Linked DNA regions of Notamacropus eugenii. The protein of the gene in region 1 purifies or fractionates together with the protein of each later gene. This does not show direct contact. Links are inferred from orthologs where the notes say so. Each region holds a gene or a part of one and is shown in the gene's direction. Other genes may lie near its edges.

Evidence for each region.
Region 2: the proteins of OFD1 (region 1) and CEP20 purify together in Homo sapiens (co-immunoprecipitation; 3 studies listed by BioGRID and IntAct, with this or other methods). This does not show direct contact. The link is inferred for Notamacropus eugenii from reciprocal best matches to the Homo sapiens genes OFD1 and CEP20.

What each region holds. Positions count from the first base shown.
Region 1 is NC_092876.1:377,230,018-377,246,331, reverse strand, and holds the start of OFD1 (centriole and centriolar satellite protein OFD1), read left to right. Parts: upstream 1-8,980; 5' UTR 8,981-9,220; intron 9,221-9,239; exon of another isoform or gene 9,240-9,630; 5' UTR 9,631-9,636; coding exon 9,637-9,729; intron 9,730-10,836; exon of another isoform or gene 10,837-10,840; coding exon 10,841-11,041; intron 11,042-13,223; coding exon 13,224-13,292; intron 13,293-13,376; coding exon 13,377-13,407; intron 13,408-16,314. Other genes in the region: TRAPPC2 (trafficking protein particle complex subunit 2), read right to left, coding at 5,004-5,096. UniProt on the Homo sapiens protein: Component of the centrioles controlling mother and daughter centrioles length. Recruits to the centriole IFT88 and centriole distal appendage-specific proteins including CEP164. Involved in the biogenesis of the cilium, a centriole-associated function.
Region 2 is NC_092872.1:96,248,533-96,264,544, reverse strand, and holds the start of CEP20 (centrosomal protein 20), read left to right. Parts: upstream 1-7,839; 5' UTR 7,840-7,976; coding exon 7,977-8,004; intron 8,005-10,280; coding exon 10,281-10,478; intron 10,479-12,626; coding exon 12,627-12,711; coding exon of another isoform or gene 12,712-12,715; intron 12,716-16,012. UniProt on the Homo sapiens protein: Involved in the biogenesis of cilia. Required for the recruitment of PLK1 to centrosomes and S phase progression.

The sequences.
Region 1 (16,314 bases):
AATATGATATTCCGTAAAGCAAAGGAGCTGGGACTACAACCAAGGATTAATTACCCAGCAAAGTTGAGCATAATATTTCAGGCAAGGGGATGGACATTCAATGAAATAAGGGATTTCCTGACCTTTCTGATGAAAAGGCCAGAAGTCAACAGAAAATTTGATCTTCAAATGTAGGTCTCAAGAGAGGCATAAAAAGGTAAACAGGGGGAAAGAAACTGTTACACAATATGGGCAAACTGTTTACAGCCCTATAAGGGAAAATGATACTTGTTAATCTTGAGAATTATATATTTATTATGAAGTGTAAAAAGGATATATACAGATAGAGGGAGTGAGTATAAATTAAATGATGTGATAACAAATGTGATTTAAGGGCACAAAGGGATTGTAATGGGAGATATGAAAAGGAGGAGGCAGAAAAAAATAAATTCCAACACAGGAAGATGCACAAAAATAAATTACAGTAGAGGGAAAGAGGAGAGGGAGATGAGCATTGTTTGAGAGGTACTCATCTCTCCAATCTCATCTGATTGGATTCAAGGAGGGTACAACAAACTGTTAAGAATAGAAATACAATTAGCTCTATAGGTAGTAGGAGAGGAAGGAGGAAAGAAAAGGGAGGGGAGGCTAAAAGGGAGTGAAGAAGTAGTAAGGGAAAAGGGGATTAAAAGGGAGGGAGGCTGAAAGAAGGGAGGGAAGACTGTGGGAGGTAGTGGTCAAAAATTAAAACTATTGTGGAGGGGAAGAGAGAAGGGAGAACTAAAAGCATAAACAAGGGGAAAGGGGATGGAGGGAAAAATACAGATAGTAATCGCAACTGTGAACATGAGTGGGATGAGCTCTCCTGTAAATGGAGATGGATAGCAGACTGGATTAAAAACCAAAAAATCCAACAATATGTTGTTTACGAGAAACACATTTGAAAAGGGGGCATACACACAGGGTAAAAGGTTGGAGCAGAATATTTTGTGCTTCAGCTGATGTAAAAAAAAGCAGGGGTAGCAGTCCTAATCTCAAACAAAACAAAAGCAGAAATAGATCTAATCAAAAGAGATGAGGAAGGAAACTATATCCTGCTAAAAGGTACTACAGACAATGAAGCAATTTCATTACTAAACATATATGCTCCAAGTGGTATAGCATCCAAAGTCTTGGAGAAGAAGTTAAGGAAGTTACAGGAGTGATTAGAGATCTCACAAGAGACTCTGCAGTTGGGGGCTTGATAAGAACAAAATGTTATATACACTTGCCCACATGTTGGCTTCTCCATTAGAGTGTGAACTTCTTGAGCTTAAGGTACTGTCTTTTGTCTTTCTTTGTGTCCCTAGCATTTTGCATGCTAAGTGCATTGCTCATAGTAGAAGCTTAATAAATGTTTTTTGACTGACTCACATTCTGTGGACATCAGATAAGCTTTAGCACGACTAATTTACCTCAAGGACAACCCACCAAAGTATGTAGAAAATTAAAGGAAGAGGGGGGCGGAGCCAAGATGGCGGAGTAGAAAGACGCACATACGCTACCTCTGAACCCACTGCCCATAAAATACCTGTAAAAAACAAGGAACCACCGTCGAATTCTGGAGTAGCAGAAGTCCGCAGAGCGGAGCGGACGAGATTTCTGCTCCAGAGAGCCTGAAAACCTCTCCCAGGGGGTCCCTCACGCCCCGGACCCGGCGCAGAGCCCAACCCTGCCTCGGCAGCGCAGCGCCGAAAGCAGCAGATCTGAGCAGGCTTCAGGGACAGAATCTCCAGCAGCCGCGCGGGTCCCTCCACCCACAGGTGACAAGGGTCGGTGAGAGGGTCTCTTTGGAGGGTCGAGAGTGGAGTGGGGTGCCCCCATAACTCAGGCCCCCTTGGGAGGCAGCAGCAGAGGCGGGAGCAGACCAGGGCTCCCCAAGCAGGCAGGACCCCGGATCCATTGTTGAAGGTCTCTGCATAAATCCCCTGAGGGAACAGAGCCTGTGAGGCAGCCCTGCCCTGACCTGAGCACCTGAACTTAATCTCACACTGAACAGCAGCCCTGCCCCCGCCCAAAGCCCTGAGGCTGGGAAGCAGAATTTGAATCTCAGACCCCAAGTGCTGGCTGGGCAGATCTGGAGGCGAGGTGGGGGTGGAGAGGACACTCAGAAGTCAAGTCACTGGCTGGGAAAATGCCCAGAAAAGGGAAAAAACATAAGACTATAGAAGGTTACTTTCTTGGTGAACAGGCATTTCCTCCCTTCCTTTCTGATGAGGAAGAACAATGCTTACCATCAGGGAAAAACGCAGAAGTGAAGGCTTCTGTATCCCAACCCACCCAATGGGCTCAGACCATGGAAGAGCTCAAAAAGGATTTTGAAAATCAAGTTAGAGAGGTGAAGGAAAAACTGGGAAGAGAACTGAGTGACATGCAAGCAAAGCATGAAAAACAAGTAAACACCCTGCTAAAGGACACCCAAAAAAATGCTGAAGAAAATAACACCTTGAAAAATAGGCTAACTCAATTGGCAAAAGAGGTTCAAAAAGCCAACGAGGAGAAGAATGCTTTCAAAAGCAGACTTAGCCAAATGGAAAAGGAGATTCAAAAGCTCACTGAAGAAAATAGTTCTTTCAAAATTAGAATGGAACAGATGGAGGCTAATGACTTTATGAGAAACCAAGAAATCACAAAACAAAACCAAAAGAATGAAAAAATGGAAGATAATATGAAATATCTCACTGGAAAAACAACTGACCTGGAGAATAGATCCAGGAGAGACAATTTAAAAATTATGGGCCTACCTGAAAGCCATGATCAAAAGAAGAGCCTAGACATCATCTTTCATGAAATTATCAAGGAAAACTGCCCTGAGATTCTAGAACCAGAGGGCAAAATAAGTATTCAAGGAATCCACAGATCACCTCCTGAAAGAGATCCAAAAAGAGAAACTCCTAGGAACACTGTGGCCAAATTCCAGAGTTCCCAGGTCAAGGAGAAAATATTGCAAGCAGCTAGAAAGAAACAATTCAAGTACTGTGGAAATACAATCAGGATAACACAAGATCTAGCAGCTTCTACATTAAGGGATCGAAGGGCATGGAATAGGATATTCCAGAAGTCAAAGGAACTAGGACTAAAACCAAGAATCACCTACCCAGCAAAACTGAGTATAATACTTCAGGGGAAAAATTGGTCTTTCAATGAAATAGAGCACTTTCAAGCATTCTTGATGAAAAGACCAGAGCTGAAAAGAAAATTTGACTTTCAAACACAAGAATGAAAAGAAGCATGAAAAAGTAAATAGCAAAGAGAAGTCATAAGGGACTTTACTAAAGTTGAACTGTTTACATTCCTACATGGAAAGACAATATTTGTAACTCTTTAAACTATTCAGTATCTGGGTACTGGGTGGGATTACACACACACACATGCACACGCACATGCACACACACATAGAGACAGAGTGCACAGAGTGAATTGAAGGGGATGGGATCATATCTTAAAAAAATGAAATCAAGCAGTGAGAGAGAAATATATTGGGAGGAGAAAGGGAGACATGGAATGGGGCAAATTATCTCTCATAAAAGAGGCAAGTAAAAGACTTATTAGTGGAGGGATAAAGAGGGGAGGTGAGAGAAAAACATGAAGTTTACTCTCATCACATTCCACTAAAGGAAGGAATAAAATGCACACTCATTTTGGTATGAAAACCTATCTTACAATACAGGAAAGTGGGGGATAAGGGGATAAGCAGGGTGGGGGGGATGATGGAAGGGAGAGCATGGGGAGGAGGGAGCAATTTGAGGTCAACACTGTTGGGGAGGGACAGGATCAAAAGAGAGAACAGAAGTAATGGGGGACAGGATAGGATGGAGGGAAATATAATTAGTTCTCACACAACACTACTATTATGGAAGTCATTTGCAAAACTACACATATTTGGCCTATATTGAAATGCTTGCCTTCCAAAGGGAAGGGGTGGGGAGGGAGGGAGGGCAGATTGGCAGACAGGGGCAATTAGAATACTTGGTGTTTTGGGGTGGGGGGAGGGGACAAAGGAGGAGAAAATTTGGAACCCAAAATTTTGTGAAAATGAATGTTAAAAGTTAAATAAATAAATAAATTTAAAGAAGAAAATTAAAGAAGAATCAAAAGCATAAAACCTTTAGATGCCATATATGTTGTGTTCTAGTAAACAATGCCAAATGTGAATTATTTAGCATATAGATTAAATATAAGAACAAATGTTTTCTTCCATACTTATGCATTCCATATCCATTACCAGAAGAGGAGAAATTTATTAAATGCATACTGTATACTAGGCATTGGGTGTATAAACCAAACTACCTTCCCTCAAGAAATTTGTCAAAATATTTGTTTGGAAAAACATGTTCACAGAAAGGTAAATTCAAAATATACATAGTAATTTCATGATAATGGATGGGGAGGAGGAACTAGTAACTGTTGGGAATCAGGATAAGCTTCCTTTCTTTAGGAGATGACAACTGAGATGATCTGGGAAGAATCCAGGGATTCTTTGAAGCGGGAGAGCTTCCCAGGTATGAGGGATAACTCTGCAAAGCCACAGAGATGGGAGATAGAATATAGCAAATGTTAGGGTGAATATTCAAGAAGAATGGAACAATATAAAGTAATAAACCTCTTTAACCCTTTCACTCAGGGGTTTATAATTTAGTTATGCCCTGAAAAGAAATCTGATGACTCATGGTATAACTTTCATTTTACTCTGAAGACATCAATTCTTACCACACTGATACTGTACTATAAAATAGAATGTCGTGCTTTCATTGTTGTTTTTTTTTTAAATAAGAGGAAACACTGTGCAGCAGAAAGTTTTATTGAATTGGGAGTAAAGTTCTAATGTTGGCTGTTATATCTACCTTACTGTGTGACCTGGGAGTAAATCACTCCAACTCATTAGACATTAGTTTCCTTGTCTGTTTCATCACTAAGATCTTAGCCCATATTTATCATGACAATACCAAAATCACTTTAAAGAATTTTTAAAGTTGCATACACACCTTAGATTCCACTTTTCCAGTTGGTAAAAATTCCATTTCAAAAACTGGATTATCATGATGGCCTACAATTACAAAGTAGAAACTTCCAGACATTGTCTCCAATATACAGGTCCTAAGTAAATGAGATAACAAATCTCTTTGTGAATTTTATGCTAAAAATAGAAATGTAAATCTAGCGATCTTAAAACATCATAAATTTACATGGAAGATGCATGTTACTGAAGCAAAATTAATGAGATCATCTGTGAGAGATAGAAAAACAAATTAAAATGTCTAATATATTATAAGCAGTGGGGAGAGATTAAGGACACAGAAAATGTTTTATTTTAAAAATGCTTTATTATAAGCTTTAAATTAATCCATGTAACAATTAAACTTGCTTTTTGGTTATTAACATCTAATTAAAGGCATTTTAAAGCATAAAATGTCTCAAGTTTCTTCCAGGTTTATTTACCTATTAATTCTCATTTACTTTTAAATGATTATAGTTAGCATGTACTCTGTTCTTTGGGCTTCCCCTTGCATCATTTCATCATATTCATCATAAAGATTTTTTTCAATTCTTTACCATTCGTAATTGAATTATAATATTCATTGTATTAATATGACCTTTCCCAATTTTTAGGACATTTAGGTTTCTTCCAAAGTTTTTACAATGAAAATTATTCCACATAAGAATGAGATACACATTTTCAGACAATGCCAATGTGTGGATTTGTTTTGCTTCACTAAACTTTTTTGTTACAAAGGAGTGCTTGGAGGGAGTAGGAAGGTTTGGACAGGAGAATTATAAAGAATTGACACATATACACAAAGAAATGAAAGATGTATCAGTAAAACGTTAAAAGAAACACACACACTCACAGATGGGAGATTAGAAGAGGATTCTGACAAGCTTAGCAGTGCCAGTTTTACCATGTTAAATTTAATGTATACTTAAAGTACAAAGACAAATACCTGTCTGCTTTCAAGGAGCTTTGTCTGGATCAGTGACTTTCTTGTTACATTTCATTTAACTTTTTTTTTTGCCAATTTGCTAAGTGTGATGTAGCATGAGGTAGCACCTTAGTTATTAAAATTTGCATCTACTTGGTTAATAGTGGGTTTGGGCACTCTTAAGTAGTTATTAACAATTAGTGTTTGCTTTTAAATTGCCTATTTTTATCCTCTGGGGGCAGGGAGTTGTTTCTGTAAAAATTTTAACAATTCTCTAGTCCAGATGCCAAGTTTTTAGTATGTGATATTGGCTGTAAAAATTTCCTCCAATCTGACATTTTTAAAAAATCATACCATTTTTGTTGTACAGAAACTTTTTTTAATGTAATCAAGCAACTTATCTTTTCTCCACTAATTATTCTATTTCTGTAACAGAAATATTTCCCCTAAAGATTGAAACAAATATGACATTCTATCCTTTCCCTTCCATTTTTTCTATAGTTCTTTTTATGTTTAAGTCTATCATCCATTTGAAATTCACTTAGGTATTACATGTGAGATATTAGTAGAGGTTCATTTCTTGCCAGATATATTTTTAAGTTTGACTGATGCCTTTTCTTTTTAAATTCTCATCTTTTCCCAACATATACACTGCTTCCACACACCTGTTTGCTGCTTAGAATACTCACTTGGGGTGGGAGGGAGGTAAGAGAGATGAAAGAAAGGTTGCAGAGGTGGAAACAATACTTTTTATGTGAAAAAAGACTTACAACTTTTACTTAATTACAAGTTCAACATTAATGGTACGATGTGGCTGGCATATAAGCAAATGCTAAAATGCATTAATAGAAGTATAATGTCTAAAACAAGGGAGTATTGTAATAACCCTAATGCACTGTGCACTGCTAACACATGATGCAATTACATACTCCCTTTTGAACATCAAATTTTAAGATGAACTTAGATGAAACTGGAAACACCCAGAAAAGGAAAACCAGTATAGTGAAGGATCTGAAACAAAACAAAACAAAACCAAGCCATATCAAGAATTGCTGAAAATTGTTTTGCCTGGCAAATCTCAAATATGTGGAGGGTTATTATGTGAAAGCGGGATCAGTCTTTGTAACTGTTTGGCGTTTGGTATTTGGTTAAAGGAGATCAAGTTAAGGGTAAGTCTATGGGGAAATAAATTTGGCTGAATATAAGGAAACGGCTAACAATCTGTCATGACAATGAAACTGCTCCATTCAATGACAGTCACGTGCAGAATGCTGACTTTGGAAAGGGAGGATCACAGTTCAAATCCTGCCCCAGCCAATTACTTTGGCTACAAATGATCGTGGCAAGTCATTTACTCTCTAGGTCTCAATGTTATCAACTCTAAAATGTTGAGGCTTCATTAATTAAATTAAAATTCAACATTAAAATAAGGCTGGAAAACCTCAGAGGTTCCTTTCATTTCTACCATGAAACTGCATGATCTTTTCTGAGACCTCCTCCGTCTAGATTTTTGCAGCTTTTGGTAATATTAACCACTCCCTCCTCCTAGTTCTCATCCTACCTGACTGAATGCTTCTCAGTCTCCTGAGAACAAACACATCCTAAACAAAAACATCCTAAACCTTCTACTTTCCGATTTCCCCTTAATTCCTGGGCCTTCTTTCTGTGGATGACTTCCAATTTAACCTGTGCGCAGCTTGTCCGCACGCAGCTGTCCTGCTCTCGTCCGCCCCATCGGACCGGGAGCTCCCGGCGCTGGGGCTCAGCACAGCGGCCGGCCCGCAGCACAGCGGCCGGCCCGCAGCACAGCGGCCGGCCCGCAGCACAGCGGCCGGCCCGCAGCACAGCGGCCGGCCCGCAGCACAGCGGCCGGCCCGCAGCACAGCGGCCGGGGCTCAGCACAGCGGCCGGCCCGCAGCACAGCGGCCGGCCCGCAGCACAGCGGCCGGCCCGCAGCACAGCGGCCGGGGCTCAGCACAGCGGCCGGCCCGCAGCACAGCGGCCGGGGCTCAGCACAGCGGCCGGCCCGCAGCACAGCGGCCGGGGCTCAGCACAGCGGCCGGCCCGCAGCACAGCGGCCGGGGCTCAGCACAGCGGCCGGCCCGCAGCACAGCGGCCGGGGCTCAGCACAGCGGCCGGCCCGCAGCACAGCGGCCGGGGCTCAGCACAGCGGCCGGCCCGCAGCACAGCGGCCGGCCCGCAGCACAGCGGCCGGGGCTCAGCACAGCGGCCGGCCCGCAGCACAGCGGCCGGGGCTCAGCACAGCGGCCGGGGCTCAGCACAGCGGCCGGCCCGCAGCACAGCGGCCGGCCCGCAGCACAGCGGCCGGGGCTCAGCACAGCGGCCGGCCCGCAGCACAAGCTTCATCGATCTTTATTACCCGACTGGCGATCCACGCATCTTAACCAAATGCTCCTGGAGGACATCCAGGAAGCAAACAAAACAAATTCACCGCCCATAACGGTGGAGGGACTGAATACAATGATCTCGGTAGAGTTCGTTGGAGAAACAAATTCAATAGGCCTGCCTTCTGAGTAATTTTAAAAAAGTTATGAAAAAGGTATCGCCATCAAGACACAGTGCCAGGCGGCGGAGGGAGAAAACCGTGGAAAGTCGGCCAGCACTTTACCCTTTGCTAGGCAACAGAAGGGCCAACCAGCACCAGGTAAATAGGGCGGGCAGAAACTCGCCCATTTCTTAGAGGAGGGGCTCCTACCCCTTCAATTCTAACCCTACGGGGGGATGGTCCTAGAGGTCCTGGGGGGAGGGGAAGGAGAGAAGGAGAGTGAGAAAAGGAGGGGGGAGGAGGAAGAGGAGGGCGGGGCTTTGCTATAAGCACGGGCACCGGACACCCTCCCCGTCTCAATCAGCCTCTCTTAGGCCTTCTCCGGTCCTTACCTGTGGGCAGGACGCGACACCTGCCCCAACCACACCAGCCCCGACCTCCCTCGGTCAAACTCCAGGTAGAACTTCGACCTCGGGAGCTCTAGCGGCGCTCTGCGGCGCCCCAGTTCTCGCGAGAACTGAGCCCGCCGCGGATTGGCGGGAGGCTGAGACGTTTAACAGCTGGACGAGTGCGCCTGCGCGACGGCGGCGGCGGCGGCGGCGGCCCGGGCGGCGTGACTGGGTCTGGAGGGACGTTCCTTAGGACCACCTAGAGTAGCAGCCCTCAGTCAATGCAGGCTGTACACCCAAACCTGTGAAAGCTCCCTTTCGGTCGCCGGGATCCCTTTCCCGGTTTAATAGCCCAGGCTTTCTTCTGGAGTCTTTGGCCCCGTCAGGTGATGACTGGATTCGGCCTGAGCTCCCCTCCGGCCTCTCAGCTTAGCGGGAAGAGAAAGCGGATCTCTCCCTCTTCCAGTATCTCACTGCCCTTCGTCGTCGCCGGTTTTCGGGGACACCCCCCCCCCTCGGGAACGTGGCCTCCAGGGGGTTAAAGGCCGTCCCCGAAGGGCTGGAGGACGCTTCCCCCCCCCCCCCTTCTCCTTCCCCCGAGAGGCTTTGGGCAAACATGAGAAACACCAGTCCCTCGTGGGAGGTGGGGGCCGGGGTGGGGGTGTCCGGAAAACAAACCCTTTTCATGACTTCGGGGGTGTTCTGCTGAGGTCTTTGGCGTCCCTGACGTTGTTTTTGAAATCATGAGGGATCTCCCCCACCTCCGACTAACCCGTGACACCGTCTCCTCTTCCAGTTCAAGATGCCTTTTGAAACTCAGGCGCTGTCTCAGGATGAGCTCCGAAAGAGACTGTACCAGACATTTAAGAACCGGGGTATTTTGGACACACTCAAGGTACCTTTGGGGCATGTGTTTGCTTTATAATAGACAAAAAAATATGAGATGGGAATATCCAAGGATGGGTGAATTTAATAGTAGTCACCCAGGTACCGTGTTAGATTGGACTTTTTATTTTTTTTATCGTGTATCCATTTTGAATTGTGTGGTTTCCTTTTGAAGTCTTGAATTAATTATTGCATACATTTAAGGACAAGTTTCAGATAGAAATAAGTAATTATATTAAGAAAAGAAGCATTTTGATAATGTAACATTTTGTAGGGCTGATATTCATTCTTAGAAGTTGAAAAAATGGCATGTTCAGAATGTTAATTTTATTAAATTTTAAATCGTTAACAGGTTTTTTGTTTTTTTTGTAAACCCGTTTTTGTAGGTAGTGAAGGGATAATCTCAAGTTTTGGGTAAATAAAGTGCTTCATTTTGGCAGCAAACTCTGGGGATGTTATTCTGCTTATTGTTCGTAAGAGGAAAGGAGAAAATTTCTCTTTCCGAAAACCCTCCTGTTACAGCTTATGGAAAGAAAACAAAACAAAAAAATTAAAAAGTTAAACTGATACAATCAGGGAAGTGCTGGTAAATGTTAAGACTGTATTCACAGTTCACTATTTTGTAGTATTCACATTTTCTCCATCACTTTATGTCCAGACTATCAACAAAACAGTATGTCTACCCCTCGTTTGTATTTTGCCTATTTCTCAATTTAACAATTGGTTTCACAGGTAGGAGGAGCTAGCACACCCTGCCACTTAAGGTGGTATTTGAAGGTGCTTGTTGGAAATGATTAAAACTCTTGACATCCAGAAGATAATAGGTACCAACTGATAGATGTATACAGTTCTTTCATCTCTGCAGCCAGCTCACTGTTATTTCTTTAATGAGATGACAAAATAATTGCCTTGTAAGGTCTTTTGGCGGCTACTTCTGTTTTCTTCTGGGTAAAAATCACTGTGTAATGTACAAAGATAATTGATTCTTATTGTAGGAGGAAAAGAACCTTTCTGGGTTGAAGGAAAGAAACATTCTGTTTAATATCGCCGATACTTTTATTAAATAAAAATAATATTTTAGTAAGATTTTTGATATGTTCCTTTTTTTTTTTTTGAGGTAGACTCAACTTCGAAACCAGCTTATACATGAGTTGATGCATCCTGTTTTGAGTGGAGAAGTGCAGCCACAGGTCATTGCTGTTGAAGGAAGCTCACTATTAGTTGGGGCTTCTAATAGCCTTGTGGCTGATCACCTGCGCAGGTGTGGCTATGAATATTCACTGTCTGTTTTCTTTCCTGAGAGTGGCTTAGAAAAAGAAAAGGTAATCATCCCTTCTCCACCTTTTAATTCACTTGGATAAAATGTCTTTTACTTTCCTCTCTTTAGTAAAACAGTACTTCAAATCAGCCTTAAATATGTCTGGGTTCTCAACCAGAATCTCCTCTCCATCACATCTGACTGGAAATCAACAAAATAGAATCAGTCTCAGTGGAGAAAGATACTCAGTATTCTGGTTTGGAGGAAGGAAACAACTCAATTTAATATGTTGATTAAATAAAAATATTTTAGATTTTTCACCTGTTCCTAGGAATTCCTGTCATTCCTAGATAGTGTATCTTAGGCAGCTTGGACCTTCTTTGAATAGTCTAAATGAATACTTTAAATCCTTTGGTACACTCAACTAGTTGCATTCTGGGGACACCAAGAGTCAGGTTGGGACAAGTTGTGGTTCACCCTGAAGCAGTGTACCAGCTTTATCCCTATGTCCATTAATGAATATGATAATTTTGTTGTTTAGATGTTTCAGTTATGTCTGACTCTTTGTGATCCCATTAAATATTAGAGTGTTTTGCCATTTCCTTCTTGATCTCCTTTTACAAATAAGGAAACTGAGGCAAAGAATGTTAAGTGGCTTGCCCAGAGTCACACAGCTAGTAAGTATCTTAGGTTGGGATTTGAATGCAACTCTTCCTGACTCCAGGCTAGCTGCCTTAATCATGAAAAATTTTTGAGTTTACTATCTGAATGAATGATTTAATCATTTTGAAATTGAAAGGTAGCCACCCATCTACCACTGTAATAAGGAAAACAAATTGTAAACCATGAAATGCTATAGATGTTAGTTATATTAATTTACTCATAATTTAAATTGAATTTTTTCATACCAGAGCTACTGATATTATGTAAGAAATACTGCATATTAATTTTCCTTTTTAAAAGTAGATTCAATCTTTATTGTTTAGAGAAATGCAAATCAAAACAACTCTGAGGTACCACATCACACGTATCAGATTTGCTAACATGGAGGCGATGTGGGAGAGTTGAACACTAATTCATTGTTGGTGGAGCTGTGAGCTGATCCAACCATTCTGGAGAGCAATTTGGAACTATGTGTGCATACCAGAATCTCCTTTGACCCAGCAATACCCCTTCTAGGGCTGTATCCCAAAAAGATCATAAAAGTGAGAAAAGGATCCATATGTACAAAAATATTTATAGCAGCTCTTTTTGTGATGACCAAGAACTAGAAATCAAGGGGATGCTCATCAATCGAGGAATGGATGAACAAGTTGTGGCATATGAATGTAATGGAATACTATTGTGCTGTAAGAAATGATGAGCAGGCAGACTTCAGAAAAACCTGGAAAGATTTATATGAACTCATGCTGAGTGATGGGAGTAGAATCAGGAGAACATTGTACACAGTTACAGCCACATTGTTCGATAATTCACTTTGATAGACTTAGCTCTTCTCAGCAATGCAAGGCAAAGCAAAGCAAAACAACTCCGAAAGGCTCATGATGGAAAATGCTATCTACATCCACAAAAAGAACTATCGAACCTAAATGTAGGTGGAAGGATACTATTTGCTCTTTTTTTTGTTTAGTTTTATTTTGTTTTGTTTTTCCTTTCTCATGGTTCCTCCCATTCAGTCTAATTCTTCTATACAGCAGGACTAATGTGAAAATATGTTAAATTCATATTGTTCTCTATTTTTATAACTAACAACTAGACAGCACAGTGGATCAGTGTCCAGTCTGGAGACACTCAGGAACTTACTAGCAGTGTGACCTGAAGTAGGTCATATCTTCTGTTTGCTTCAGTTTTTCCATCTGTAAAACAGGGAACTAATGCCACCTGTTGCCTAGAGTTGTGAGAATCAAATGAGATAATTTTTGTGAAAAATGCTTAGCGGAGTGCTTGGCACATAGCATTATACAGATGTTAGCTTTTATTATAAGTGTTAATAGGTTCTGATCCTATGTGTTCATTCATTTAATAAATTCTTTGAATTTTCTGCTATAAAAGCTATGTAAGTATGATAAATTTGTGGGTTCAGTGTTTGTCATTGTGTATAAAAATCAAATTTATTAGTATAGTTATATTTGTACTATTAATTTGAATGTTGCTATATTTTCTGTTTTTGTTTTTGTTTTTTTTGGTTTAGCATACCTAAAATGACAGAATTTTATACCATTAATTTTTAATTTTCTTTTCAAAAGGTTTTTACTATGCAAGATCTACTCCAGCTGATTAAAATCAACCCCAAATCCAGTTTCTACAAATCATTGGTAGGATTTTTTTAGATTCTATAAATCTACTTTGGTTTACTAACCATAGTTGAATGAAACTAATTCTTTTCCTTTTTTTTTTAGACTTCAAAGATTCAAAAAGAGAACCAAAAAGGTAAACGATTCATATATTTTGCTAGAAGTATATACATGACAGTTTTATTTTTCTTTTATGGGAAAAAATAGTGTTTTAATTTGTATTATTTAGTTTGAATTAAATAATTGGATTTTTTTTCCAAATACAATTCCAGTATATTTTTAACAATTTTTCATTCTCTTTTCCTGAAAAAAATGATTATTCTTAAAATTTTTCTTCCTTTATTGTAATGTGAGTATACAAAGAATCTTAGACTTCCTCAGTGTGGGAAGCATCTTTTACCCCTTCAGATTGCCATCTGTCCATGAATTAGTATGTAAATCTTAAGGAATTTCCTAAGACCTAGAGGTTAAGTAATTAGTCCCATGGGGACCATCTCCAGTTGTCTTATCTTTCCGCTGTACCCCTATGGTTCCAAAGGAGAGAGTGAGGTGGGTGACTTTACACAGCGCTCCTCACTTAAATCCAGTTCACATCCTGTCATGGCATCACCTTTCTGATGTCATGTCCTCTTCAAGAATGAAGGAAACAACAACCACTGTGTCACTGTAATTATTGTAGAGGTGAAATTTAAACCTCTGTCAAGTTTATGCCTTTATGTTTGGTAATGCAAATAGAAGAATGGAAGATAGTAGCATAATTCAAAGCAAATTAAACAAGAATATTTTAACTAACTGGTATTTGGCATCTGGATGCCAGAGTGAATAAGAGATCTGGACTTGAGGTCAGGAAGACCTTAGTTGGTAGAATCCTGCCTTATTGATATCACTCAGTGATATTTTGACCTCTGCCTCATATTCCTTATTTGTAAAATGGAGGTAAATAATTGTAAACTTTGACGCACTATATAAATATTAGCTATTACTGATAAAATTTATGAAAATTAATATTTTAATAAATTCCCTTAAAAACCATATAAATGCCTGATATCTCAGTCTAATCCGATTATTTTATTTCAATATTGGTTTAAATGAGTTGAATCAATTTAATTGTTTTTTTAACCATCCATTAGATACTATAGTTCTTTATATCATAGAATTATTCTTGATGTTGAATTTTGTAGCACTTACATTGACTGAGAGTTGCCGAATGACTTTAAATGCCTTAGAACAGCGGTTCCCAAACTTTTCAAGTATGAGAACACGTTTGTAATTGGGAAAAAAATTTCAGATTCTCAAATGATAGTAGTTCTATAATGAGTTTTCAGTAACAAATTCATTTAAAAGTTCATGAACTTACAGTTCAGCTAAGTCCCAATTACTGCAAATTGAATTTTTTGAAGTGGTCACATCATTCAAATTTATATTATTTGTAGTTATACCCTTAGCTTTTAGAATAATTACATGTAGACTATGGTAGTTGTTGGAAATATGGAAATATTCAGTAAAATTTTTAAAATAAGGTTTTAATCTGTTTATTATACTATTACAGAGGATATTAAAATATTTTTGATTTATTTGTTACAAAGTAATACAGTAACTATAGAAAGCAAAAATAAAAAAAATTAAAATTACTGAAAATTGTACCCAAAGATCAGCTATGGTGATGAATAATAAGATAAAAATGTTGTTATTTAAAATCTGAATAACCTACAGTCTTTAAATCTTCATATATATATATCTGGTGAAGTTCAGAGAGCTTTATCCATATCTCAGCAAATTGCATCTCATACTCTCATACAATGAATTTGAATTACCTGATGAATTATCTAAAATCAGTAATGTTTTAAACATTATATTGTTGTCTTTGTAATGTTTTTCAACACCTGGCCTAAAGTAACTTGAAGACCAGTCTTCAAAAAAAGCTTTAATGACCCTTGCAGTCTCATTTCATAGCCAGTGAACTAGAAGTAATAGTCATATGACACCTCCGAAAACTTGAAGACTTCAGAACTGACTAACAATCATTGTTTTTAATTAAAAATTGCCTTCTTCCTCTTCCTCCAATAAGGGAATCTTTAGTCACTTTAAATCCAGGTTGAGTTTTTTCTTTTTTTAAAAATGTAAGTTCTAGAAAGCATCTCAGAAGAAGCCTGTTTTATTAGCATTTACATTTTTTTGATCAGTATCTCCACCTTTTTAAAATTTTCTTCAAAACATCAGACTCTAGCTATTGTGTCCTCATCTGCACTGGTCATCTCTTTGGTAATTTACATTGCGTAAGTGACCTTGGTTTAAAAAATTTTTTTTTTTTAATGAGCAAAAATTTGCCTTTTCTCCCTCTAATCCCAAACCCTGTCCTCCCCAATTAAGCCAGGAGATGATTGGTGGATTATTTTCACTTTGCCCTCTAGTTTTTGAGAGATTCATGAAGTCACAAAAAATTGGACATGACTGAACAACAAGATTTTTGGGGGATGTTTTTCCCCTTTGTTTGGTCCTATTGTTCAGGTAGTCCGATTCTTAGAATTTTTCTCCTTGATTTGTTTTCCATTTAAGTTATTTTTGCTATGAGATAATCTTACATTTTTTTTGATTTTTCAGTCTTCTGACTTGGTTTTAATGTTTCTTGCTATCTCATGGAATCATTTGTTTCTACGTGCATTTGAATTTTTAGGGAATTTGTTGCTTGGGCAAGGTTTTGTACCTTTTTTTCCAAGCTCTGAATTTCTTTTTCAGTTCTTTCTTCATAGCTTATTTTTTTCTCTAGCTTTTTCATTTAAAAAAAATTTTAAGCAATTTTTAAAATTTTCATTTCTCTAAGGAACTATACTTGAATTTGTGGCCAAAACCCGATTTGTAGGTTTTTCTTTGAGGCCTTGTTTGCCGATATTTTGGACTCCTCTTCTTATGGGTTTGTTTCTTAAGTGTACCTGTCACTGGAACAGCTCTTTATGGTGGGATTTTTTTTTTTATTTCCTTGTTCTTCCAACCTACTTTCTGTCTTCACATTTTATGGTAGGGCAAGGTTCTGCATATTTCTGGA
Region 2 (16,012 bases), on another chromosome or scaffold:
TAGTCCATGTCCACTCTGCTGGCTCAATAAAATAATATGAAAGAAAGAGAGAAAGGAAGGAAGGAAGGAAGGAAGGAAGGAAGGAAGGAAGGAAGGAAGGAAGGAAGGAAGGAAGGGAGGGAGGGAGGAAGGAAGGAAGGAATCAGAATGCTCCCCATTATATGAAAGTGGATTTGAATAAAGGAAAACAGGTCTATTCCAGGGCCACCCTCATTGCGCTCAGTCATCTCCAAATTACAGCAGCCACAACCGGACACCAGGAAGCATTTATTAAGTGCTTACTGGGAGCAAGGGATTATGCTAAGAGCTGGGAATGCAAATATAAGCAAAAACAAAACTAGAGCTTATATTCTAATAGGGAAAGACAGCACATAAAAAGTAACTGAAAAGGAAGGGGAGAGGGAGAGAATAAAGACATGGTTGATCTGGGCCTCCCCCTTAAAATGTGTCCTTACAGGGTTAAAAGGGGGGAAAATCAGGATAGACAAAGAAAATGGAGTATGGTGTATGAGCAGCAAAAAGGCCAGTTTGGCTGGACCACAGAGTCTAGGAAGTGGAGCAATGCACAATGTAAAAACCTCCCCAAACCACTTTGAATACCGTCACCTGAGAAAGGTCTAAAACCTGGATTGATCAATTAAGAAAAAGACATTTTGGCCCACTCTGAGCTTAACCTACCATAACGCCTTCTGTGCTCTGGCAGAACAGATATGCTTTGCTTCACTGTCCAAGCGAACTCAAAATGCTCCTTTCTGTGTCAGCAATTACAAGGCTAGATGAAGCTGGCCAGAAGCATTCTTCTGTTTATGACCAGAAGGATGATGGTGACCTTGACAGAAATCAGGAAATTTAGAAGGGAAAGATAATGAGTTAAATATGTTGAATCCGAGATGCCTATAGAACTTCCAGTTTGAAATATCCAATAGATAGTTGCATATATTTGTTTGGAAGTTAAGAGTTTAGAAACTAGGGTTAATTTAGAGTTGTGAATCATTTGGATTGAAATTATAATTAAACCCAGGGGAGCTTAAATGGCCCCTAAGTGAGAGAATATAGAAAGAGAATAAAAAAGCACCCAGGATAGAACTTTGACATACACTCATAGTGAGGGGAGGGGATGTGATATGGAAGATGAACCGACAAAGGAGACTGAGAAGGCGCCATGAGATAGATAGAAGGAGAAACAAAAGACAGCAATGTCATGAAAACCAAAAACCAGACAGAGTATTCAGGCAGAAAAGGTAATCAATTACACCAAATGCTGCAAAGAAGTTACAAAGGATAAGAAATATAAAAAAAACAACAGATTTGATGATTAAAAGGTGATTAAATTTGGTGATTAAGAGAGTGACAAGAAAGAAAGAACAGCTTCATTTGAGAGAGAAATTCTGAAGTCACATTGCAAACAGTTGAGAAATGAGATGCCTCTTTTTCTAAGAGGTCAATTGTGAAATGAGGGAGAGATAGAAGATAATAGCATAAGTGGGTACTAGGGCTTAGTAAGGTTTTTTGGTTTTTTTCAGGATAGAGAGGCTTGGTTTGTTTGCAGACAGTAGAGAAAGAAGAAATAAATAGGGAGAGGCTAAGAATTAGAGAAAAAGCAGAACTGTGCAGGGGATGGATATTTTGAATTATAGAGAAGGGGAGAAGAGGGAGCTCGCCACCGATGGCTTCTTATTTTCTCAGTAAGATAAAAGACAAGGTCCTCAGCTGAGAAAGATAAGGAAGACTGGATAGGGGAAAGAAGGAAAGGTCTGGAGCAACCTCTGTGGGAGTGAGATAGAGAATCAATTAGGGAGGAATAAAAGGGCCCTTGCTAAGTGCCCAGTTGAGATCATATAATAAAGTTGTCAGAGATTCTCATTCACTTTGGTTTCCTGATGGACTTCAGCTTCTTTTAGCAGCAAATTTAGCAGTAAAGGAAGCAGATGGTGGGAGTAATAAAGGCCTAGGATTTGCAAGGTATGAGGTTCTATAGAACAGGTGGGGCAACAAGGAGTGGAACAGAGGTCATGTAGAGATGAACTGGTTAACAATAGGGATGAACATGGGAAGCGAGGAAAATGAGGTTAGAACAGGGGTGAAAGCCTGGAAGACAGGGATAAAGGGCTTGGAGATCCTAGCATGCAAAAGAATGGGAATGCAAAAGCATGAAAGAAGGTAAAGAAGGATCTTGGTTATTGGCAGGGTTCAGATTAGGGGCATAGTTTATTCAATCAGGTGATTTTAAACAAGGGCTGATCATAAGGCAGGAGAGATAGGACTTAGGGTGGGGTTAGTTTCAAATAGAAGTGGATGAAAAGTTGCGGAAAGATGATAGAAGTACAAAGGGATCTATTATTATTTTTCTTTTTTTCTTTTTGTAAATAGTATTTTTCCAATTACATATAAAGATAGTTTACAACATTCATTTTTTAAATAAGATTTTTAGTTCCAAATTTTTCTCCTGCCCTCCCTCACACCCCCCCTTACCAAGATGGCAAGCAATCTGATATAGATTATACATACACAATCATGTTAAACATATTTCCACATTAGTCACGTTGTAAAAGAAGAAACAGAATAAAAAAGAGAAACCAAGGGGAAAAAATAAAAAAGTGAAAGTAGTATACTTCCATCTCTTCAGACTCCACAGTTCTTTCTCCAGAGGTAGATAGCATTTTTCATCATAAGTTCTTCAAAGTTGTCTAGATCGCTGTTTTGCTGAGAAGAGCTAAATCTATCATAGTTGAACACTGCACTGCCAGGCCTAGAGGCCTGAGGGCTACCCGAGTCTTCTTACCTCACCTCCCGAGGTCTTCGGTTGGCCAAACCGGATGCTCGTATGAGAGAAAGGACGTTCCAGAGTCAAACAAGGGTTGAGCTTTATTTCAGGGTCTAGTTACAAGTGCAGGGGAATTCTTCCTTAGGAGGGAGCGAAGAATCTCCCAAGGAGGCAAAGATCTTACAATAAGAGATTGGAAGTAGAAGTGTAAGTGGGGAGAGAGGGGGAGGGGAGAGAGGAGAGAGGAAAAGCGGAGCCTTGTTGTCCTGTCCGCTCCGTGCCCCTCCGCCCAAGAGAACTTTCAGGCTTTCCTGATCCTACTTAAACTCTTCAGCAGCATAGTTTGCATCTGAATACCGTGCTGTTAGATAACAATAGTGTGCCCAGATCCGGGACAATCTCGAGGGCGGGGAGAGCTCTCTCCCATCACGTTTCTCACGGGAAGAGGCGGAAATACACGAGATAGCTTGGTTCACCTCGATTCCCAGTCGTTTCCTGGGGGGTCTCGTGAGAACTCTAAGATTTAGAAGTTCCCACCTTTACCCGCCCGAGACTGTCCACATGGAATTGAGCTTCCAACCCTAGCACTGCACAATGTTGCTGTTATTGCCTACAATATTCTCCTGGTTCTGCTCACTTCACTCAGCATCAGTTCACGTAAGTCTTTCCAGGTTTTTCTGAAATTTGCCAGCTCATCATTTCTTATAGCACAATAGTATTCTATTACATTCATATATCACAACTTGTTCAATCATTACCCAATTGATGGATATTCCCTTAATTTCCAATTCTTTGCCATCACAAAAAGAGCTGCTATAAATATTTTTGTAGACGTGAATCCTTTTCCCTTTTTTACGATCTCTTTGGGATACTGACCTAGAAGTGGTATTGCTGGATCAAAGGGTATGCATACGTTTGTTGCCCTTTGGGCATAGTTTCAAATTGCTCTCCAGAATGATTGGATCAGTTCATAACTCCACCAACAACACATTAGTATCCCAATTTTTCCACATCTTCTCCAACATTTATCATTTTCTCTATCATATTAGCCAATTTGATAAGTATAAGGTGGTACCTCAGAGTTGTATTAATTTGCATTTCTCTAATCAATAGTAATTTAGGGCATTTTTTCATATGACTAGATAGCTTTAATTTCTTCATCTGAAAACTGATTGTTCGTTTCCTTTGACAATTTATTAATTGGAGAATGACTTATATTCTTAAAATTTGACTCAATTCTCTATATTTTTGAGAAATGAGGCCTTTACCAGAATACTTGCTATAAAAATTGTTTCTCCAGCTTTTCTGTTTTCCATCTAATCTTGGTTGCATTGGTGGGACCTATTATTCTTAAGAGAATCTGAAGTAAAAGAGCCCCTTTTAACTAGAGATATTTCAAATTTACCTGGCTGATTGCCTTATCTCAGTTTTGTATCCCATATTACTGGAAATACAGTCCTCTCCTTAGGACCTTTAGATTCCCAGTTATGGGCATCAAGTTTGCAATAGCCTCAGTGAGCTGTGCTCTGAGTCTTCCTCGGGATCTTTCCACAAGGCTAGCATTCAAGGGACCTGATATGGGACCCCAAAAGCCTGCCCTTTCCCAAGAATATTAAGATTGAAAATTATTCTTCTTATATTATGGAAACAGGGGTTGTAAAAAAAAAAAAGCATTAATAAAACTTCTTTCTTAAAGAAAGACAACTATGCCCTCCTTCCTGGCCACAATCAAACCTTCAGACTTAATCTTAAATAGATTTTTTTTTGTTGTTGTTCAATCATGCCTGTCGTGTCTGATTCTTTGTGATCCCATTTGGGGATTTCTTGGCATTTCCTTCCCCAGGTCATTTTACAGATAAGGAAACTGAGGTCAAGTGACTTGCCCAGGGTCCCACAGCTAGTAAGTGCCTGAGGCTACATTTGAACTCAGAAAGATGTCTTCCTTACTCTTTCTAGGGCTAGCACTCTACCCACTGCCACCTACCTGCCACCTAGCTGCTCCTTCAAGTTCTGTTTAGCAATTCACTCTAAAATATGAATGACTCAAAAGGATAACCCACACCAAGGAATTTACATTTTAAAAGAAGAGAAAGTTAATCCAAAAGAATTTCTAATTAGAGAAACAGTGAGAAAATAGCTTTGAGCCTTTTGAGTGCAGCTTTACTACTACAAATCAGCTGCAATCCCTGCTTTCTTCGTGTTAGGGAAAACCTAGACTTGTTAGCCACAACTTGGCTTCTCCCCTTTGTAAGGCTGGTGACATCTGATCAACGTACTGGTAAAAATCATACATATACAATCGTAAAATCTGATTGTAGGAAGAGATCTCAGAGGTTGGAGTACATAGGCCTATGAGAGAAGTCATATAATGTAATTTATACCCACAGGCCCACATAGGGTGAGGTGATCAGAGGTAGGGCACCAGAATTTAGAGTTTAGCACCTAGTTAGAAAGAATATTAGAGGTAGCCCCCACAGTGTGCTTCTCCCCTTACCACTCCCTGAGCTGAATTCCAACTAAGCTTCTATCTAACAGTCTCCTGTCCAGCGGGGGCCTCTCCAGCAGCAGCTTTGTAAAGTGCCAACATCTCTTCCCTTTACAGCCATCAGTCCTAAGGTCTTTCTCCTCAGTCTCTCCCCTACATATTCAAATAAACTTTGTTTTTACAAGGTGATTTGAGTGGACCTAATTTATCTCCCCAGGCTGTTTTGTATTCCTAGTCCTGGGTTAACACCATTCTTGGTTAAGTATCTGCATATTTAAACAAGATGAGTGGACTCTCTGGACTTGCTCCAAGACCAGGGCAGGGGAATCCACTATCTCGTAGGCAATCCATTCACTTCCGGTCCAGGTATTCTAGTTAGGAAGTCTTTCCTCTTATCAAGCTGAAATCTGCTTCCCTGTAACTTTGCTCTCAGGATTCCCAGTTCTGCTTTCAGGGACCAAGCAGATCAAGTTCAAACTCTCCTCTTACGTTTCAGGTTCCAAATATTTGAAGGCAACCGTTGGCTCTTCAGCATGCATTGTACCCATTCTACAGGTATAAGAGCATTTGTGCTGTTTCTAGGGTCCAAAAATGCAAATTTCCCTACAATTAATCTTCAATCAACAATTTGGGCTTGGTTTTCAAGTTCTTGCAGGACAGAGGTCCCTGATGTATAGGGCATGTAATATGGTTTAAAAAAAAAAAAAAGCTGTCCCAACATCATAGGGAAGTAGTTCCATAAAGTAGGTGTCTCCCATTTGTAAAATTCCACCTTTGGGAGGGTTGGAGGGTGGGGAAGGTTCCTTTTCTCCCAGCAATGGCTGTTTGACAGATGAATCATTTTAATTCTTGGTCAATGAAGTCTTACTCTTTTGAATTCAAATGACCTGCAGTTTGATCCTAGAGATATGAAATAGTAATTTCAATAATACCTTAATCTCTAATCCTCCCAGTAAGCAAGATTGAATGAACCTGTTGCTAGTCCCTCAGAAAAGAATTTGATAACATTTTTGAGAGCAGAGAATATAATTTTATTATGGGGAATAGCCTCTGCCTTGTCAGTGTTGAAATTCTGCTTCTTACTAGCTGTGTGGCTTCTCTCTGGGTCTTAGTTTTCTCACCAGTAAAATTAGGGGTTTGGACCAAATGGCCTTTAAAATCCTTTCCATCTCTAAATTCATGATTCTCTGATTTTTAAACACACGCATACATTATTGCCCCATTACATGTTAAAACAATTTTAAACATTTTTTAGTTTTGAGTTCCAAATTCTATCCTTTCCTCCCTCCTTTCCTTCCTCCCATCCTTTTGACAGTAAGCCATCAGATATAGGTTAGACATGTGCAATAATATATAACATTTCCATATTAGTCATTTTGTACAAGACGAAAGGAATGAAAGAAAGTGAAAAACTGCATGCTTCAGTCTGTATTCAAGCAATATCAGTTATGTCTCTGGAGGCATGCTTCAACATGAATACTTTGGGATTATCTTGGATCACTGTATTGCTGAGAATAGTTGTCATTCATTGTTTTTCATTGAGCAATACTCCTGTTACTGTATACAATGTACTCCGGTTCTGTTCACTAAGTCTTGGAGGTTTTTCTGAAATCACCCTGCTTGTTATTTCTTATGACACAATAATATTCCATTACAATCATATACCACAGCTTGTGAGCCATTGCCCAATGGACGGGCATCCCTTTCATTTCCAGTTCTTATCCACTGTCTTATACTTTTGTATAAATAGATTCTTCCCCCTTTTTTTGGGTATCTTCTGGATATAGACCCAGCAGGGGTATCATTAGATGAAGGGTATGCAGAGCTTTCAGTTGTCCTCTGGGCATGGTTCCAGATTGCTCTTCGGGATGGTTGGATGAGCTCACAACTCCACCAACAAAGAATGAGTGTTCCAGTGTTTCCACACCCCCTCCAACAGCCCTTTTCCTTTGTCCCATAAGCCGATCCAAAAGATGTGAAGTGGCTTTTAGGATTCTCTGATTTCTGAAGAGGATATACTAGATTTTTATCTCAGGGTTGTTTGGAGAAGGAATTAATTTTCATTCACAAATTTGAGAATTAAATAAAGGCATAAAGTGCTTAATTTTAAAGCATTCCGTAACTCGGTTATTATTCTTACTCTTCCAATTTCTGCATCTTCCTATAGGCACATACAAGTATATATATATGTATATATAGGTACATAGATACATATGAAATAACGCCATTTGGGGCTGACCCCTTCTGCGGCATTCCCACCACCGCGCCTTTATCCGACCCGCCCAGCTGGATGTTTCTCTTTAACTCCTGAGTTCTTCCCCATACGTTCCTTCCGGCGCAAACACTCGTCTACACCGGTGACCTCAGGGATTCGGAAGCTTTCTCTAATGACGCCCATCACAACCCGTCCTCGCCTCTCTGTCCAGGGGCTCCCATAAATCGATCACTTCTAACACCCCAACTGAAAGCACAGCCCGCGTAATCCCACAGAAGTAAACACCTTCTCCACCAGCACGCGTGCCTACGGCAGCTTCCCGGGCCAGAGGCCACCCGATTGGCCCGTACCGGAGAGATCACCGGATGTGACGTGTGATAGGCTGGGGACTCAGGGGCGGAGCCTCGGCCTTTCTGGGCCCGCTGAGGGGGTGGGGCGGTGTGCCGCGCATGCGCGCTGCGCGGGGCTAGGCCCCGCCCTTCTTCCCTTCACTCCCGGGCGGCCGTTGAAAAATGGCGACTGTGGCGGAACTCAAAGCAGGTAGCGGAGGAACGGACGCGTAGGCCGGACAGCTCAGTCTGAGACACAGATGGAGCGGCCTCCGAGCGGGGCTGGGCTGGGGACGGAGTCGGGGCGGAGAGGCCCGGGTGGGCCGCGGCTTGCCTTCTCCTGGGCTTTTCAGTGCCCCCGTTAAGAAGGCAGGGATTTTGCTTTTAATTTGCTACTTTTTGTTCCTCCAGGGTTTGGCACGTAGTAAGCGCTTAATAAATGATTATTGATGAATGGGTCAGTGAGCATTTATCGAGCGCCTGCTGTTGATATTTCTCCCAGTAATTTATTTTATGAAAAGATGGGGGGAGGGGCAGCCCTGCGCTGGGAATCCGAAAAGAGACAAAAACACCCCAGGAATGAGGGGGAGGGGGAGGGGTGTTTCTCTCATTCCCAGATTCCCTGCTCACTTGATTCACTGCCCTTATCACCCCCCCCTTCCTCCCATGCCCCCTGCTGTGGGATTACGTGGACCTGGAGTGGGGTCCTCCGTGGTGCAAACACCTGTCCACCTTACCTTCCAAGGATAACTGGTTTTTCTATTTTTTGTTATAAAACCTCAGGTTTTCAAAAAGTAGAAGATACCCCAGCTAAAATTCCACCTTCCGCAGCAAGGCCGTCCTGATCCTTGATTCTAGTGCCTGCCCCCTCTGTTGGTTATTTCCTCTTCATCCTAATTGTTAATCAGCTTCCCTCGCTCTGCAGATTTAGCTCATGTGTACCTAATTGCTTGTTGTCTCCTTTGAACTGTCTTTTGCCTTTATGTTCCCAGAGTTTAGCAGTGGTGAGCGCATAACAGGCTCTAAATAAATGCTTATTGTCTTTTAAGAGTCTCACTGCAGTCTAAAGCTTTTCAGCCTTTAATAGTTAAAACAGTAACCCTTTTTTTTTTTTTTTTTTTGGATTTTCACAACAAGCTTGTGATCCTCTTAAGAGTTGCATTTTACAGGTAAGGGAACCGGAGGCTTGGATCTAGGGAATTGGACTGGCCCACAGGTATTTGTTGAGCTCCCCCTGCCTGCCAGGCATTGCTCTGAGTGGCTGGATTTGAATTTAGGCCTTCTTAGGTCTCAGGTCCCAACCACTGTGTCTGCTGGGTCATCCAGCTACTTCAGCTCGCCCTGGCGCTTGAGAAGGTCAGGATTTGCCCCTGACCATAGAGCTTGCAGGATGTGATGTGGATGGTGGCAGTGGGTAGGGCGTAGGCCTGGAAGTCGTAGCTGTGAACCCCTGGCAAACCCCTCAACCCTGTTTTCCTCAGTTCCTCATCTTTAAAATGAGTTGGAGAAGGAAGCGTCAAATCCCTGCAGCATCTTTGCCAAGAAACCCCAGAAGGGGTCATGGAGAGTCTAGATAACTGAAAGAGGCTAAAGGAGCGGCTTGGGAGGTTTTGTTCGCTGTTGGTTTGCCCTGACTGATAACCACAGCACCTTGCATCTTTGTAGGGTTTTGCCCTATGTGGGTGTTTTCTCCTGTTATTGACGTTGCAGAAACAGGAGGCTGGTGAAGGCTGGGAAGGGTTCTAGAGATTCGAGTTCTTATCTCGGCTCCCATACTAAGTGCTTGTGTGACCTTAGATACTTATTTTCACTTCTCTAGCCCTGACACTTTGACTCGATGATGTCTGTGACCTCTTCCAATTCTTAGATTCCATGAATGTGTAATTTGGTTTGTTTAGCTGGAGTAAGAGTTCTCAGAGGGAACTGTCTCTTGGATTTTTTCAGCACTTCAGTGATAACGGTGACATTATATGCAGCAGGTGAAGGAGAAATAAAATAGAGCATAGGTACTCTGTAAATACTTGTTAGCTGATAATATTTGTACAGACTATACTTGCATACACAGATGATTGAGGGTTTTAGCATCGTGTAGAAAAGAGGTCATTTAAAAGGCAGACGGCTTCACTGCTTCAATTACAGTAGGGAATATTTGGATCAGCCAAACTTTACTGGAAAATTTATCTTAGAAGTTACTATTGGCAAATGGCTGACAGCTTAAAAACTGTAGGGAGAGCTGGAGTTAGGGCTTTATGGTACCCAGGGGGACATAGGGAGGTGGGCTGGTGCTGGGCTCAGAGATCAGTGAAAGCATCTAGAAGAAACCTCAGGACTCAGTCCGAGGCCATCATTCATTGCTTTGTTGGTAGTACTTTAAAATTCATTTTCTTTGATCTGTGTCCCAAGCTGCTCCATAACAGCATATAAGACTGATCAATGATTTATTTCACTTGCAATTCTTGCACTAAAATATTGTATCTTATTTAATAGTTTTGAAGGATACTCTGGAAAAAAGGGGTGTACTGGGACACTTAAGAGCGAAGATCAGAGCTGAAGTTTTTAATGCACTAGATGATCAAGGTGAAAAACCTCCACCCCTGTCTCATGAAAACCTCCTAATTAATGAGCTAATTCGGGAGTATTTGGAGTTCAACAAATATAAGTATTCAGCATCTGTCCTTACAGCTGGTAAGTGTGGATTGTTTGTTAAGTGAATTCTTTTTGTGTGTGTGTGATTTAGCTTGATGATTCAGTTTTGTCAACAAAAACACCATCTAGCTGCTTGAGAGCTGAAATAGTCTTTTGATCTCCTTCTGAAGCCTGACCAACCAGCTTGCTAGAAAACAACTGGATAAATGAAGCACTGCTTTTAAAAGATTATTATTAATTTTTAACATTCTTTTTAAATTTTGAGTTCCAGATTCTCTCCCTCTCACCCCAGAGATGGCATATCAGTTATATTTGTGAAATCGTGCAAAACGTTTCCATGTTAGCCATACTGCAAAAACAAAAAGCAAAATTAAAGAAAGTGAGGACAATTCTGTTTGTTTGCACTCAGTTCATCCCTTCTCTCTGGAGGTGGATAGAGTCTTTTCATCATGAGTCCTTTGGCATTGTCTTGGGTCACTGTATTGATCAGAGTAATCAAGTCCTTCACAGGTGGTCATCATTGCACTTGGCTGTTACAGTGCACCATGATCTCCTGGCCCTTCTTGCTTCACTTTGGGAATGAAACTCTCTATGCATGCATCTTTTCCTTTTTGTTGACAAGTCAAATGCTTGGTTTTTAATCTCTGGAAAAGTCTTATTCTTGTGATAATTAGGTATTTTCCTAATCAATTTAGGTAACAATCTCTTGTTCAGTATTCCTGTTATCAGCATAGGTATTCTTGGTGTCAAATAGAGCTAGAGTTCCTTGTCAGGATTAACTGGCTTGATAATGTAGAACTTTAAAGAGAGAAACATAATTAGAATGTACTGAACATTAATTTTTAAAGCCATCATAGTACAGATCCTGCAAAGCTAGAAAATTCTCCTGAGTTTTTCAGCCAAAGACTAGTCTGGGTAAGTTTAAGGAGGTTTAATTATCCGTGAATTTTTCAGTCATAGAAATTCTTAAAGACCAAGTCTGAAATGGATTGCGAACTTTATAAGTGGAAGAAATAATCCACATGAAAAAATTATGCATAATTGAAAAATGGGTACAAATCATTTTAAAGTTTCTGGTGTGTAATTTAAAATTTGACCCAGGCATCTAGCTCTATTTTTCTCATCTCTGCTACACTAAGTAGTGTATTTTGAAGCTCTTACATATTACACTAAATTTTTCCATTAATGCTTTAGTTTACTGGCATATATGTAGAAATAAGATTTCTAAAGCCCTGCCAAGTAGAATAACACAACCATCTTCACATTTGAGAGATTAAAGCAAAATTTTTAATGAGAAAAGGACAAACACAGAATACATCATTTTAAGGGGAGGGAGGACATGCTATTACATATTCTGTGATTATTTGTTTTAATATTTGTTGGACATTCACTGCCTTTGAAGCTAGTGAAGGAATGAAATGATGAAACTAAAAAGTTTAAGGAGCAATTTGATGGACAGCCTGGTAGTACAGTGGATAGAGAGCCAGGTCTGGAATCAGGAAGACCTGAGTTCAGATGTAAATGTCCTCATCTGTAAAATAAGCTGGAGAAGAAAATAGCAAAGCACTCCAGTATGTTTGCCCACAGAACCTCATATGGGGTGGGGAAGAGTCAGAAACCTAACAAACACAGTAAACTTGGTTATGGTTCAAGGCCGTTCATCACCTTCCAGTAGTCCTCTTCAGAGATCATAGTAGGTGTGCCTCTTGGGACAAGGACTTTGTCAGTCTTTATCCTATTAAATCTGTTCTGTAAAGAATAGTCAAGTCTCACTGGTAGAGTGGGCGTTGATGCCACTTCTTCTGCTCATCTGGTTATGAAGAAAGTGTTAACTATTTTGACACTATCATTCATGAAGGTACTGCCTGTCTGAGGTTGGGGGGTTTTACCTTGTGCTTAATCTAGGAGAAAGTGCAACACATAGTAATGTCAGAGAGTTGTAGGATGTTAAAGTTTTACTGTGCTTCCTGTATGTGTTTTAACAATATTTTTGAGAGAGTACCAGTTAGCCTCCAGATCTGATTTCTTATCTCCTTTGTTTATCATCCTCTTAGGAAATTCATTTGATTGTATGGTATAGGGTTTACTTCCATAACTTCATAAAACTTAAAAATGCAACTCTTTGCAGGATTATATTTGTGTTTTATGGTACCTGAGGATTTCATAAAAAGAGTCTTTCTTTTTCAGAATCTGGTCAACCAGCAACGCCATTGGAGAGACAATTTCTCATTAAGGAATTAAATATATATGAAGACTCGAATGCAAAAACAGTGTAAGACATTATTTTTTTAAGTTTTCCTTTTTTTTTTTGTTTTTTTATCCACATCTCTAAAGGCAAACAGTTTCCCAGTGTTTGTTTCAGTTAACAGTAGAAGTTAGTTTATAAACCCAAGAGGTTTGTGAAGTGGACAATTTTGGGCTGTGGTGGCAGACCAGATTTTCTTGAAAGGCATCTTGCAAAGTCACATATTTTTGCAATGCTTTCTTAGGTCTGCTCCAATAAACCCTAGCCAAAATTCTTGGGGCCATTCAGTGGTTGCCTGGAGAAAACCTCTCTTGAGTTTAGAGACTGTATCTTAATGTTTATTTATCCTCTTCAATAGACACCTAGCACAGTTTCTTGCACATAATAATTCATAAAGTAAATATTTATAGCTGAATGAATGAAGGGAAGAACATTTAGAAAAACAATGTAAAGAAAATTGCGAATGTTTCTATTTGTTTTCTTGACCAGAAATAGTCCTTTGGTTAAGTCTTGTTTATTCATAAATTTTCAAGGGGTTTTCTCTTAGTCTCTCTTCAAATAATTCATGTGCCAAGTAGATGAGGCTTGAGAGTTCAGTACTATTTAATTATTTTATGACTAATGGCATAATACCACATTATTTTTGTTGCTTAGCTGTAGGTGCTGATTTATCTCAGCTACAGTACTATTTCTTCGCTTTTTAAAAAAAAAAACATTTTTTCTATTTTTATTTTAATTGTTTCATATTGTGTGGAGTATGGAAGTAAGTACGGTATAATTTTAAGTAAATTGTGTTTATTTTTTATAATTTAAACCTAGAATTATTTTAAAAATTAAAAGTGATTGCTGTGTGTCATATCTGAGCTATTAGTTATTTCAAGAATTTATTTAGGGGGTTATGTTTAATAAAAGATGAGACCTTTGAAAGCTTTTTTTCTTTTTTTTTGGAGGGAGGAAGACAGGGCAATTGGGGTTAAATGACTTGCCCAAGGTCATATAGCTAGTAAGTGTCAAGTGTTTTGAGGCCCGAATTTGAACTCAGGCCCTCCTGACTCCAGGGCCAGTTAGACTGTTATTACACTGATGTCTAGCTTTTAAAATGTGTGACTTATACATTTCTAGTTTTGCCAACTTCTTTTGTGTGTATAGCATATTGAAGACAGTTAATTAAGAGAGACTTGTTTTATTTAACATTTATGATGATCCTCTTTTTAATAAGGAATACCAAGCATATAATATAATAGAATCATGAAAGTTTGTCACTTTAAGTGGACAGCAAATAATTAAAATGTAGACATTTGTGATATTTAGTTTTTACAGCAAAAATAAGCAAAAAAAATCCTTTTATTGAATCCATAATTTTAGAGTTTGAATTGCTTTTTAGTAAATCAGGTCAGGCAAAAAAATAAAATTTTCAGACCTGTGTGAAGGAAGATTGAGATAATTTTTAAAAATTTCCCCAAACTAGCATGATTAGTATAAAGTCATTTTTTCCTTTTGAGTCAGTTAATTTAGGATGGCATCTTGTACTCAGACCTAGAAGGGGCCTTAGAAGCAATTTGGTACAGGGATTCTTAACTTTTTATGTTTCCTGACTCCCTTTGACATTGGTTTCTAGTGAAAATAATGGGCACAGAATAAGGTTTTTAAATTTATAAAGTACAGGGATTACCAAGGATATTAATTATATTGATATGCAATTATAAAAAAAAATTTTTTTTTAAGTTCATGAACTACAGATGAACAACCAATGATACAGCACAACACACCTCACTCCCATTTTATAGATGTGGAAACTGAGAGAAAGTGAAATTACTTGCCCAAGATTAGCCAGTTAATAAATTGCAGAGTTGGAAGAAACCAAGTTCTATTTCTCTTAATGTTTTTAGTCTATCCCATGGTCAGATGACCAAATGGGTTTTGGTAGTATAATTTAATGTTTCAAACAGGCGGCATCAATAGTTATAACAGAGTGAGGAGGAAGTTGTCTTTGCCCTACGTGTTCAAGCCCTACATGTTTTTTCTTGTTTTGAAAAAATATTTTTGGGTTGGATTTTAATTGAAATTTTGATACTGCGCTGAAAATAAATCTGCCCCTTCAGGCTGATGTTGAATTTTTGGAGTTAGTATTTCACATGAGTGATACAGTTGTTTTAAGAGTAGCAATTTAATAGATACTTATTAAGGCCCAGACATAGTCCCTGCTTTAAAAAACTATAGAATGACAGAGGTGTAGAGAACTCAAGAGATAATAGAATCCTAGATTTAGAGCTGAAAGTTGGCCTTTGGTGTTTTCTAGGCAGCTCACCCTTTTATGGATGAGAAAATGAACCTGCTCAAGATCATATAGGTAGTAAGAGGCAGGTGTTCATCATTGTACAACTGCCTCTTGTCAGTCCTTGTTCTGATCATGAAAACTCTCCACAGCCGGGGCATAAAACTCAAAAAGAAACTAAACATATATAAAGACTCCTTTGGGGCTACATGTTTTCTGTGTTTTATTGTATTTTTATTTATTTTATCTGGTTTGGGCCATCCTAGGGATTGTTGTGCACCACATACAGCGTGGAATCTACATATGCCCAACAAGTGGTCCTTCAGCCTTTGCTTGAAAACCTCTGCTGATATGGATAATACCTTATCTGATAATATAACCCATTGTATTTTAGTTAGCTCTAATTGTTAGGAAAAGTAATTATGTGGGGTAAAATCTCCCTATAAAATATCCAGTTAGTCCTAGCTCTGCTCTTTGAGACCAAACAAGATAATTCTAATCTTTCTTCAACGACGCTTTCAGCTAATTGAAGACAGTTACCAAATTTTTGGCAAGCCATCTTTTTCCCAGACTAAGCATCCTTAGTTACATGAGTCCTATGTGTTATACTTTTCAGTCCCTCCATCTTCCTGGTTGTCCTCCTTTAAATATTCTTGCTTGTCAGCATCCTTCTAAAATATGGCACCCCAGACTGGACACAAAACCAAATGTGGTTTTCCTTGCTCTGGACATTTCACTTTTGTAACATAACCTAAAATTGCATTGGTTTCTGTATCATACTGTTGACTCATTTTGTACTTGCAATTCCTTTTCACATGAACTGTTTTCTAGCTGTTTCTCTTCTATCCTATTCTTGTGCAGTGGAGTTTTTAAACCAAATTTAGGACTTTACATTGATCTCACTTAAATTTTTCCTTGTTATTTTCAGCCCATTGTTGCAATCTAGGGTTTTTTGGATCCTCTCATAGAAAAATTTGTATTTGATCTTAGAGGTAATAGGGAACAACTAGAGTTTAAGTAGGAAGAAACATAGCCTTTAGGAATATGACTTTG